Macaca fascicularis: one gene and its partner. Each later gene encodes a partner of the first gene's protein in a complex. Links are inferred from orthologs where the notes say so. Each region holds a gene or a part of one and is shown on either strand. Other genes may lie near its edges.

What was found.
Region 2: the proteins of ZC3HAV1 (region 1) and KHNYN are in contact, whole or in part, in a crystal structure (PDB 9BGL), measured with the Homo sapiens proteins. The link is inferred for Macaca fascicularis from reciprocal best matches to the Homo sapiens genes ZC3HAV1 and KHNYN. Residues at the interface, in NP_064504.2 of Homo sapiens: Glu5, Val6, Cys8, Phe9, Lys12, Ile13, Ala16, His17, Glu29, Ile30, Ala31, Leu32, Leu113, Glu115, Phe118, Ser127, Gly128, Leu129, Asn130, Glu133; in NP_001277186.1 of Homo sapiens: His651, Lys652, Asp654, Phe655, Gln658, Arg659, Pro661, Tyr662, Asn677, Phe678.

Annotation. Positions count from the first base shown.
Region 1 is NC_088377.1:180,718,963-180,724,158, forward strand, and holds part of ZC3HAV1 (zinc finger CCCH-type antiviral protein 1), read right to left. Parts: intron 1,553-5,196; coding exon 1,290-1,552; 3' UTR 1-1,289.
Region 2 is NC_088381.1:92,255,458-92,260,653, reverse strand, and holds part of KHNYN (protein KHNYN), read right to left. Parts: intron 4,269-5,196; coding exon 4,161-4,268; intron 3,956-4,160; coding exon 3,854-3,955; intron 3,340-3,853; coding exon 3,090-3,339; 3' UTR 270-3,089; coding exon of another isoform or gene 1-269. Other genes in the region: epimerase family protein SDR39U1, read left to right, coding at 1-269.

The DNA.
Region 1 (5,196 bases):
CCGTCCTTCAGTAGGAATGGCCCTGCTCCTAGGTTCTTGGCTCATTTGCCAAGACTACAATAGCACTCGCATTTATCAGTTATGCTTGTGTGAAGCTGGTTATTGCAATTCATTGTTCTCAAAATACTTTCATGAAAAGCCTGACCCGAGAAAAAGCCTTCTCTGTAATCATATTAATTAGAACATAAATGTCTACTTTGCCATAATTATACAAAGAGCCCAAATGGGCAATTAACTCCAGTTGGTTGCTTCTCTCTGAGCCATACTTGCCAGCTCTTATTACCGCATTCCAGAGAGAGTCAACCTGGATGGAGTTGGTCCCCTAAATAAATGTAGCGATAAAGAAATGGGTGCTCCAAATCAGTTTCATCAGAATGATGAGGTACAGTACTGCAGCTATGTCTGCAATAGCATTTCAACTTTACTTTTTTTTCCCTAGCATGTCCTTAAGGATTTTCTTCCCAGTTTTTCATAATCTTTCTTCTAAAGCTGTAATGTCTTATATCCTTAATAGGCATGTTTAGATTTCTCCCAAATTTTCCAAATTAACTTTCTTTCAATGTAACCAAAACAAAACCATGGCATACAGTAAACTAAAAGGGTAGACAGGAGGGAAAGGTTGCTGCAATTACAGAAAATTTAGAAATCAAACTTTACCAGTTACATCTGAGACAAGACAAACTTTCCAACACATTGGAATCATCAGAAGGACTTTAAAAAATACGACTGCTAGCAGGGCGTGGTGGCTCACGCCTGTAATCCTAACACTTTGGGAGGCCAAGGCGGGCAGATTGCCTAAGCTCAGGAGTTTGAGACCAGCCTGGGCAACACAGTGAATTCCTGTCTCTACTAAAAAAATACAAAAACTTAGCTGGGCGTGGCAGTGTGTGTCTGTAGTTCCAGCTACTCGGGAGGCTGAGGCAGAAGAATTGCTTGAATCCGGGAGGCAGAGGTTGCAGTGAGCCGAGATCGTGGCACAGCACTCCAGCCTGGGCGATGGAGTGAGGCTCCATCTCCAAAAAAAAAAAAAAAAAAAAAAAAAAAAAATACAACTGCCTGTCGCTGAAGCCCAGAAATGATTTCATTGGCATGGGGGGCAACCTGGGCATCAGAATTTGTTTAAAACTTCCCAGATGATTCAAATGTGTAGTGAAGTTTGGGGACCACTGATCTAAGGCATTAGATAACTGGGCAGGAAAATATAAAACTTTAACTCCTGTCTGGGGCAATTTAGTTCTGTAAGGGAACAGAATGGTTATGGCATCCTTCTGACGCTGTATTCATCGGTTCTAACTAATCACGCAGGCTTTGTCTGCATCAGTATATTCAATCACATATTGTGGGTAAATCTGATCTTTCTCAAAGATGACAAAAACGGAGGGATTCAACCTGGTATCCACAAAGCTGTTGTATGGCTGAGGAGGGCTCATGTACGACACATTTCCTTCAATAAAATTTCCAACCAGAACTCGGGCTACAAACATAACGATGTTTTTGGCATCATATGGGCAATTTTTGTGGGAATAGATGGCATCTTTTGCAAAGTAACTTCCTAGAAAGAATCAGAAAGAAAGGTTAAGACATATTATAAAAGAAGGTATGCAGTTTATAAGATTAGTTATACATAGTCAGATGGGCGTGGACTAAGCATATGTCAATAATACCTTACTGATACTTATAAACTTTTCTTTGCACTTAAAAACATGTTCATGATGCAGGCAAACTTAAATACAGTATATAACCCTATAGAAATGACTGAGGAATATTTGCTACAGTGCAGAGCTCATGCTGATAGTGTGAACCATTGGGTGCAATGACCAAATGAGAATGACACAGTGGCCCAATTCATGCAGTTCACCCAGTGTGAACTGAATTGAGCCAACTTGGAACTGATGAGTCAGTTGATGCTTTGTCCTCTCTAAAACAACCTCAGATTATGATTGCTGCTTCCATACACAGCAGACCAACAATTTCCTGCCAAGTTAAGATTTTTATTTTTATCATTGTCAAGTGCTACTCTGGGCAGGTGCAGTGGCTCATGTCTGTAATCCCAGTATTATGGGAGGTTGAGGCGGGTGGATCACTTGAACCTAGGAATTTAAGACCAGCCTGGGCAACATGGGGAGACTCCATCTCTACAAAAAATTTAAAAATTAGCCGGGCATGGTGGTGTGCACTTATAATCCCAGCTACTCAGGAAGCTGAGGCAGGATTGATTGAGCCCAGGAAGCTGAGGCTGCAGTAAGCTAGAATCACACCACTGCACTCCAGCCTGGGAAACAGAGTGAGAATCTATCAAAAAATACAAATAATATTTTTTAAGAAAGCTACTCTGTCATTTTTTTTTTTTTTTTTTTTTTTGAGACGGAGTCTCGCTCTGTCACCCAGGCTGGAGTGCAATGGTGCGATCTTGGCTCACTGCAAGCTCCGCCTCCCAGGTTCACGCCATTCTCCTGCCTCAGCCTCCCACGTAGCTGGACTACAGGCGCCCACCACCACGCCCGGCTCATTTTTTGTATTTTTAGTAGAGACGGGGTTTCACCGTGTTAGCCAGGATGGTCTTGATCTCCTGACCTCGTGATCTGCCCACCTCGGCCTCCTAAAGTGCTGGGATTACAGGCGTGAGCCACCGCGCCCGGCCAGGGCTACTCTGTCATTTTAAAGACCATGAGTAGATATTGCCAACTCCAATTTCCATGCAAGAATCAATAAGTAAAATGAATTTATCTGTGGTAACAAATGTTTAATATACTTTGCATTTACTTTGTTTTTGTTCTTTTTACCATTTTATAGTTAGATGTTTCAATTCCAGAAACATTGCTTATCCTGAATAGGTCAGATACTAGATATTCTATGCACATAATGTTCTACTATATTTAAAGTGAAATATGGAAGTCTACCTATACTGATCTACCACATCCAATCCCACCCCTCTTCCCAAAACAGTTTATGGCTGGTGGGAATTCTTTCACACCTGTTTCTATGCATTCACATACATATATGTGCATATACTCTAATATAGTTTTATGGTGGTTTATTTGTTCATAGATAGGATCATAATATATGAACTGTTCTATTTGTTCATAGATAGGATCATAATATATGAACTGTTCTACAACTTTTTTTTCCACTTTAGTCCTGGAAGTCTTACTATGTCACTACATTCAACTCTCTCTCTCTCTCTCTCTTTTTTTTTTTTTTTTTTTGCTGCTGTTGTTGTTGTTGTTTTTGAGACGGGGTCTCTGTCGTCTGTCGCCCAGGCTGAAGTGCAGTGGTGCAATCTTGGCTCACTGCAGGCTTGACGTCCTGGGCTCAAGCAATCTTCCCACCTCAGCCTCTAATTCTAATTGGTATGAGGCAACAGCTCGTTGTGGTTTTAATTTGCATTTCCCTGATGATTAATGATGTTGAGCATTTTTTCATGAACTCATTGGCCATTTGTATTTCTTCTTTTGAGAAATGTCTATTCAAGTCTTTTGCTCATTTTTGAAACTTTTATTTGCACGTATTTTATGCTGAATTTATTCCTGTGCCATAAGTTTTTGCTTCTTCAGTATCTTCTGGGATAGTTTTTTCTTCCGGGCACCTCCTCTTCTGGTTTAAGAACACGGTGTTCTTTTTCAGTGAAGATTGTCTCTATATGGCAGGGGGAGCTCAGGCATGAGTTAATCCAACCATGAGCTCTGGAAGTCAGGTGGCACATCTTTGGTGCTTTGTTCACCTGAATATCCTTGATGACCAAAGAATCTACAGCTCAACCCTTAAGTTCAGCATTACTCTCTGCATTTTTAAGTGTGTACATCAAAAATTCAACTCTTTTTGGGTCACCAACTGTGTGACCAGCCCCACTGTTTGGCCTGGGCACTCCTACCAACTCCACCCTTGGAACGTTGGCATGATACACATTGTTTCTATACAGCGACATCTTTCGGACACTTGCTGGCTTTTCATATAGGCATACTCTTGATGGCCTGGGCAGTCTCATGGGTGTTCTTAAAGTGAACATGAAGATTTGAACCTCTTTATTTGCATGATTTCATGGAGTTTTCTGGGTCAAGTGAACAGCGAACCATTTCACAGATCACCTCAGGCCACTTATGGGAACAGCTTGCGCATTTTAAAATCGGGTTGTTTGTTCTCTTGCTGTTGAATTGTTTGAGTTCCTTATACATTTTGGATATTAATCCCTTATCAGATGTATGGCATGCAAATATTTTCTTCCACTCTGTGGGTTTGTCTGTTCACTTTGTTAATTGTTTCCTTTGCTGTGGAGAAGCTGTTTAGTTTGATGACATTTGTCGATTTTCGTTTTTGTTGCATCAGTTTTTTTATAACACACTTATGTAATCTGGAATCTGTATTTTCTTTTTTTTAAATTCCCTTTATTGTGTTAAGAAACTTCATTTCTATTCCTACATTTCTAAGTGCTTTTTTTTTTTCTTTTTTGAGACAGTTTTCCTCTGTAGCTGAGGCTGGAGTGCAGTAGCAGGATCTCGGATCACTGTAGCCTCCCCTTCTTGTGATCAATCAACTCTCGTGCCTCAGCCTCCCGAGTAGCCAGGACTACAGGCATGTGCCACCACCCCTGACTAACTTTGTATTTTTATTAGAGAGGGGGTTTCACCATGTTGGTCAGGCTGGTCTCAAACTCCTGACCTTAGGTGATTCACCCACCTCAGCCTCCCAAAGTGCTGGGATTACAGGAATGAGCCACAGTGCCTAGCCTAACATTTCATTTTTTAGGATAAATATTTGTTTGGATTCTAACATAGGATAGACCTGTAAGAAACTGATGGGTTTTAATTTCACCTGTTATATGTCACTCAAGATGGTTACATTTCCCATTTCCTTCAAACACTTCTAGGTAAGTTTCACTGATACATTTAAACTTAATAAACTTATGAAATCTCATCAGTAAATTCATTCCCCAGCTTGAAACCTTTCATTAGTTTCCCATGCCCTTACAGTCAAGTTTAGCTCTTTATGGTCATATCTTGTACCACTTCTCCCTTCTCCACTATGTGGTGACTCTACAAGGCAGGGGAATCCTACTCTAGCCCAATCTTTGGGAACACCTCTCTAGCTGGGTTAGCTGTCCACAGGACCTGTTCTTTTTTTTTGAGATGGAGTCTTGCTCTGTCGCCCAGGCTGGTGTGCAGTGGCACGATTTTGGCTCACTGCAACCTCTGCCTCCCG
Region 2 (5,196 bases), on another chromosome or scaffold:
CTCTTGAAGCAAACCACGTGCACGGGGTCCTGAATGGAGTGGCTCCATCCTCCGCCACTAATGCTGAGTTTGCCCAGGCTTTGGGTGCTGCCCTGGGCCACCGAGCCTTCATCCCTGTCCCCAGCACTATAGTGCAAGCTGTCTTTGGGCGAGAGCGTGCCATCATGCTGCTGGAGGGCCAGAAGGTGATCCCACGGCGAACACTGGCTACTGGCTACCAGTACTCCTTCCCAGAGCTAGGGGCTGCCTTAAAGGAAATTGTAGCCTAAGTAGGTCATGGCAAGGGCCTGAGGCCTGTCCCTCATAGGCTTCCAGGTTAGGCACTGTGAATAGGCTCAGCTCCTCTAGAGAGCTGAAGCCATCTGGTTCTTAGATTTCTCCCCCAGTCCTCTTTCCCATTGTTCTGTTGCTCCACCTTATTGTCTCAAGGCTGTAATCTCATCAGGTTGGGACATTAATCTTTTCAACTCCTTGCAAGATTTTCTAGTTGGGTTTCTCTACATGTCCTGCAGCTGCCCCACTTCTCCTTTATGCTGTGTAGAGAATGCTCTGCAGTTTAGGCAATAAAGATAAATTATCTCACTAACCTTGGCTCATCTCTCTGGCCTAGATTCGCCTACGATTTACTTCAAGGAATGTCACCCTAGATGATTCTTCCCCCAAGACGGGGTTTTGAAAGTTATAATGGGCAGTCTCTCTCATCACCCTCTCCCTTCTTGGTCCTTCAGTTGCCAAAAGAGCTTGTCACAAGTTTGGGACATCTGGTTATGATAAAGGTAGGCACTAGAAGACAGAATGATGATCCATTTCCAGTGGGCCCTGTAGTCACCCTGGATGCTGTCAGAGTGCCATTAGAATGCCAGTAGAGGAAGAGGTGAGGCCCAGGTGTAGGATAGACTTCAGTCTGTGTCACCAAATGGCAAGTGCATTACTAACCACACAGTGGTCCCAGTTTATCAGGCTGCAGCAGAACAAAGCCAACATCCCTGTCTATAAGAAGTTTAGGACTTGCCTCTCATCTGACTGGGGCCACTCAAGTCAACCAGCGCCGTTAGCACAAAAGGGCAGAAGATACTTTTGGTCTACTGTACACCCACCATCACTGAAAGTGAAAAGGGCAAGATACCAATCAAGAACTATAAACAACCCTATCCGGAGAAAAAAAAACCTCCCAAGTTTTCACCTAAGACCCTTTTTACCTACCTAAAGCTGTGACATCTGCCATAACTTGATCAGACACAGTTCCCCCAGCCACCAGTTCAGGCCATATTAACCAGTCTCTTCTTCTCAGGGACCTCTGGGTTATCTCTGAATCACTGTCACCTCCTTGACCAGCCTGTCTCCAACACACCTGCCCCCAGCCTGGGTCAGTATGGTACAGTGGTGTAAATCACCAAAAAGGGAGGGGTGAGGACACAAGGACCCAAGGACCCTCCCCATCATCGTTACATTCTCCATGCAGTATTCAACTCCCTGTGCCATTCAGAGGGAGGCAAAAGTCACGGCCTGGAAAAGATCTTATCCAGAGACTCACCACAGGGCCCACATAGAACAGAATCCAGGGGCACCTGTCCTACTTCTTTATCTGGTCTTGGATTCCAGGAAGTTGACTGGCTCTGTATTGTTCCTGGGGGTATGACCAGCCTCAAAGGTAGACGTAACAGAAAAGCATACTTTAGGCTGCACTAAAGGAAGGAGTACTGATTAATACCATCTACACAGGGAATGTGCTACCTTGGAGATAGTAAATTCCCTGGCACAGGAGGACTTCAAGCAGACCAAGGGCAATGACCTGTAGGAATCAGGGTGGAGAGAGCATGTTAGTGACAGCAGAGTTGGTTTGGTGGCCAGTCAAGTGCCTTCCAACTCTGGTTATTTCATTTTCCAGATAATTGGTTCATCTAGAACCAACTGGTTCAACTTCCGTTAAGTCTTCCCATCCCCATACACACATACATAAAGCAGAAGTGTGCCTCACTTTATGCAACATATATCTTCCATAGAGAAAATGTTAGGGTTGGATCACATTAATATTGTCATTGCAGAGCATGGCTTCATCGATTTGGTGAAAAATCGACGTGTTCATCTCAACACCAGCAAGTGCATCTAACCAGGGATTTGCCAACAAATTTGTTAGTCTGTAAACAAACACTTGAATACAACAGGAGAGCTGCCATTTATAGGAACCCTGAGAGTATTCTGATAATGCAGTCATCCCTAATTTACCTATTGTATAAACGTGGATTTTGGAGGTTGCTCAAAAGGGATGCAGCCATTATAGGGCATGTTATAGTGAGAATGCAGTGTTAAAATCTAGGGTGTGGACCCTGAAGACAAAGGACCCACATCTCTCTGAAAGTGAGGTTTTGGTTAGAGAGCCTGTGCAGCCACAGGCAGACACACCTGAGACTTGGTCCAAGCACCTTTTCTCCAAGAAGCTTTCCTCTATGTTCTCATTTCTCCTCCCAACAGGTATTTTTACCACTGATTTGTAGGCGGAAGTAAAGCCCAAGCAACTCAATCAAGGTCACAAACAGGCATAGCTGAGACCAGAAGCCAAGTCTCCCTCTGCCTTCTTCACTAGCTCACTCCATTCTATCGTGGCCCCATCCACATAACGCTGTGGCCCTTCCAGGGCCCAGCGTCTCCTTCCACACTCCCAGGAGCTCAGCCAGGGAGTATCCTGTCCTCTGGCCATCCACAGCAGCAGCCAGAGAGAGGAACAGCTTAACTTCCTGTCAGTTCCCGCCCACCCTGCCCTCCACCCCAGCTCAGCTTGGAGGTGGAGCCAACAGTCTCAGTGTCCAGAACTAATCCTCTCCAGCAGCCCCTACTCCCTACAGAAACCCTGTGCTAAGGCAAAGTTGAGAAGTTAAGGCTGAGCAGAACCTCTTGAGAGCTGGCTGAGGTCCTCACTCGGTAAGATCAGGTCACTTTATGGACCTGTCCCAAAGTGGCTTCCCTGATCCAAAGCATCAACTCAGGGTGCCTCTGGATCAGAGTGTGAGCAGCAGAGGGACTCTCACAGAAAGGGCTGAGCTGGAGGCAGCTGGAGCTGACGGGGCGGCAACCACTCAAGCAGGTGAGGCTCAAAAGTTAAGACTGAGCAGGGCCTCAGACAGTTGGTTAATGTCCCGGCAGTATGGCTCCCGCTGCAGGATGAAGTCCACCTTGTGATCCTGACCCCAAAACACCTCCAGCAGCTGCCGCCGGAGCCGCTCTGTTTCCCGGGTCTTCCGAATGCCACCACTACCTTTTTCCTCTTCTCTCCCGTGCTGCTGTTTACCATGTTCTGCAAAGCCCCTGGAAGGATGCTGAGCCTTAGAAGACCCTTGTGTCCTAGGAAGAAACAGACCAAAAAGAGCTGATGAGCATCCTGGGGGGAAATTAGATCTTAGTGGGCTACCCCTCTCTTAATTGTCCTGCCTATTCTTGGCTTTAGGGGAGAAACCCTGAAGTTCCTGAAGCTGACCACTGAGTGGCAGTATCAACCCACTTCTGAAGGGGAGCTGGGCCGTTCTTTTGGAACCAGGGTGAACTCTGCCACTATTATGATCTAGTTCTAGTCCTAAATGAATCACTTATGTAATGGTCAGTAGAAGGCATGCCGAATACAACTGGATCTCAGTATAAGCAACCGTTTTCCAAATAACTCCATCAAACATGCTGATTAAGAGAAACAGGAAGCAGGTGTTTCCCTACCAGCAAGGAGGTTCTATGTCAGGATCCCCTGGGAAGCTTATAAAGGCCAAGGCAACTCAAACTGAGATCACACTTCCACCCAAGTCTCTGGGCCTGCTGAGAGAGGGCCAGGGGTGGGGGCTGCCCGCAAGTAGTCTAGGGGAAGGATTACCTGGCTGGCTTCTTCAGAAATTCATCCAGGGTGGGGCCGTTTCGTCCCAGTGGGTCATCAGGTACCATGAAGAGGTTTCCCACAAAGGTAAAGGGCAGCAGGCTGGATGGCGAAAGATATGTGGTCACAGAGGGGGCCCTGGCCCACCTCCCAGACGACTGAGACCAGTATCACCAGAAGCTGCTGGCTCCATCCTTCAAGAAAACTTCACCTGCTTCCCAGAGTTTTCACCCCATGGCCAGAGCAGAGCTGGCTTTAGAAAAACATCTGCATCTGTGCCCAATTCTCAGCAGGAGGGCTCCCTCACCGTTCTCTGATGATTGCCATCCACTTCTCAGACTCCTCCGCCAGGTCCCGGAACTGGTCATTGGAGACAATTATCCCATCTGTCTCTTCAGCCAGCTTCACCATGAACCTGTCTCCAAAACCACAGCAACCAAGAGAGGGTTGAAAAATTACCTACTGGGTACAATGTTCACTATTTGGATCATGGTTACATTAAAAGCCTAGACTTCACCACTATGCATTATATCCATGTAGCAAAACTGTACTGGTATCCCCCAAATCTATAAAAATAAAAGGAAAAACCACAGCAACCATTTGAGACTCTCCAAGGCCCCAACCCCAGAAGTTTTACTGACTCCCATGAGTCACTTCTGATGATGGAGATCTGGCCCCCTACCTCACTTGACCCAGCTACAGGCAACTGACTAGATATAAGTGCCATGGGCTAGAGAGGAAACAAAGATGAATCCAAGGTGGTCTCCCAGTAGTATCCTATCTGCTCACCATAGTCCTTTACCCAACACTTTGTGCCACATTAGTGAACAGTAAGATCTAGCTCTGACTGTCTTCCACCCTGCCCAACCAATCCCTCGCAAATCCAACATGCCCTTCCTTTGAAAAGCCCTTGTGCTCTGCTCCCTTCCTTCCCAGGACCACCATTAGCACCCTAGTAATTCAAATACTGCAACTGAGATCATGCATCACTTCCCAACAAGGGGGTCCCCACCTCTGACCACTCACCCACCCTCAAGTCTCCCCTGCCCTGCCACAAGAAAGCATGCTTATCCCCTACACAAAACTCTTCCACACTTGCCCTTTATTTACCAAATAAAGTCTACACACCCAGGCCTGGCAGCTAAGGCCTTCTACAGGCCAGCTCAAATCACCCTTACAGCCTTCTCTCTCCCAATATTCCCTAATCCACTCCCAACTCCAGCTAAAATCAATAATCAGATTACACTCTGCTCTCCACATATGTCTTATGCTGACTTCCATATTTCTCCAACTATTTCCTCTATCTGGAAGGCACTTCCCAAGACTTGCTAAGGAAAACAATC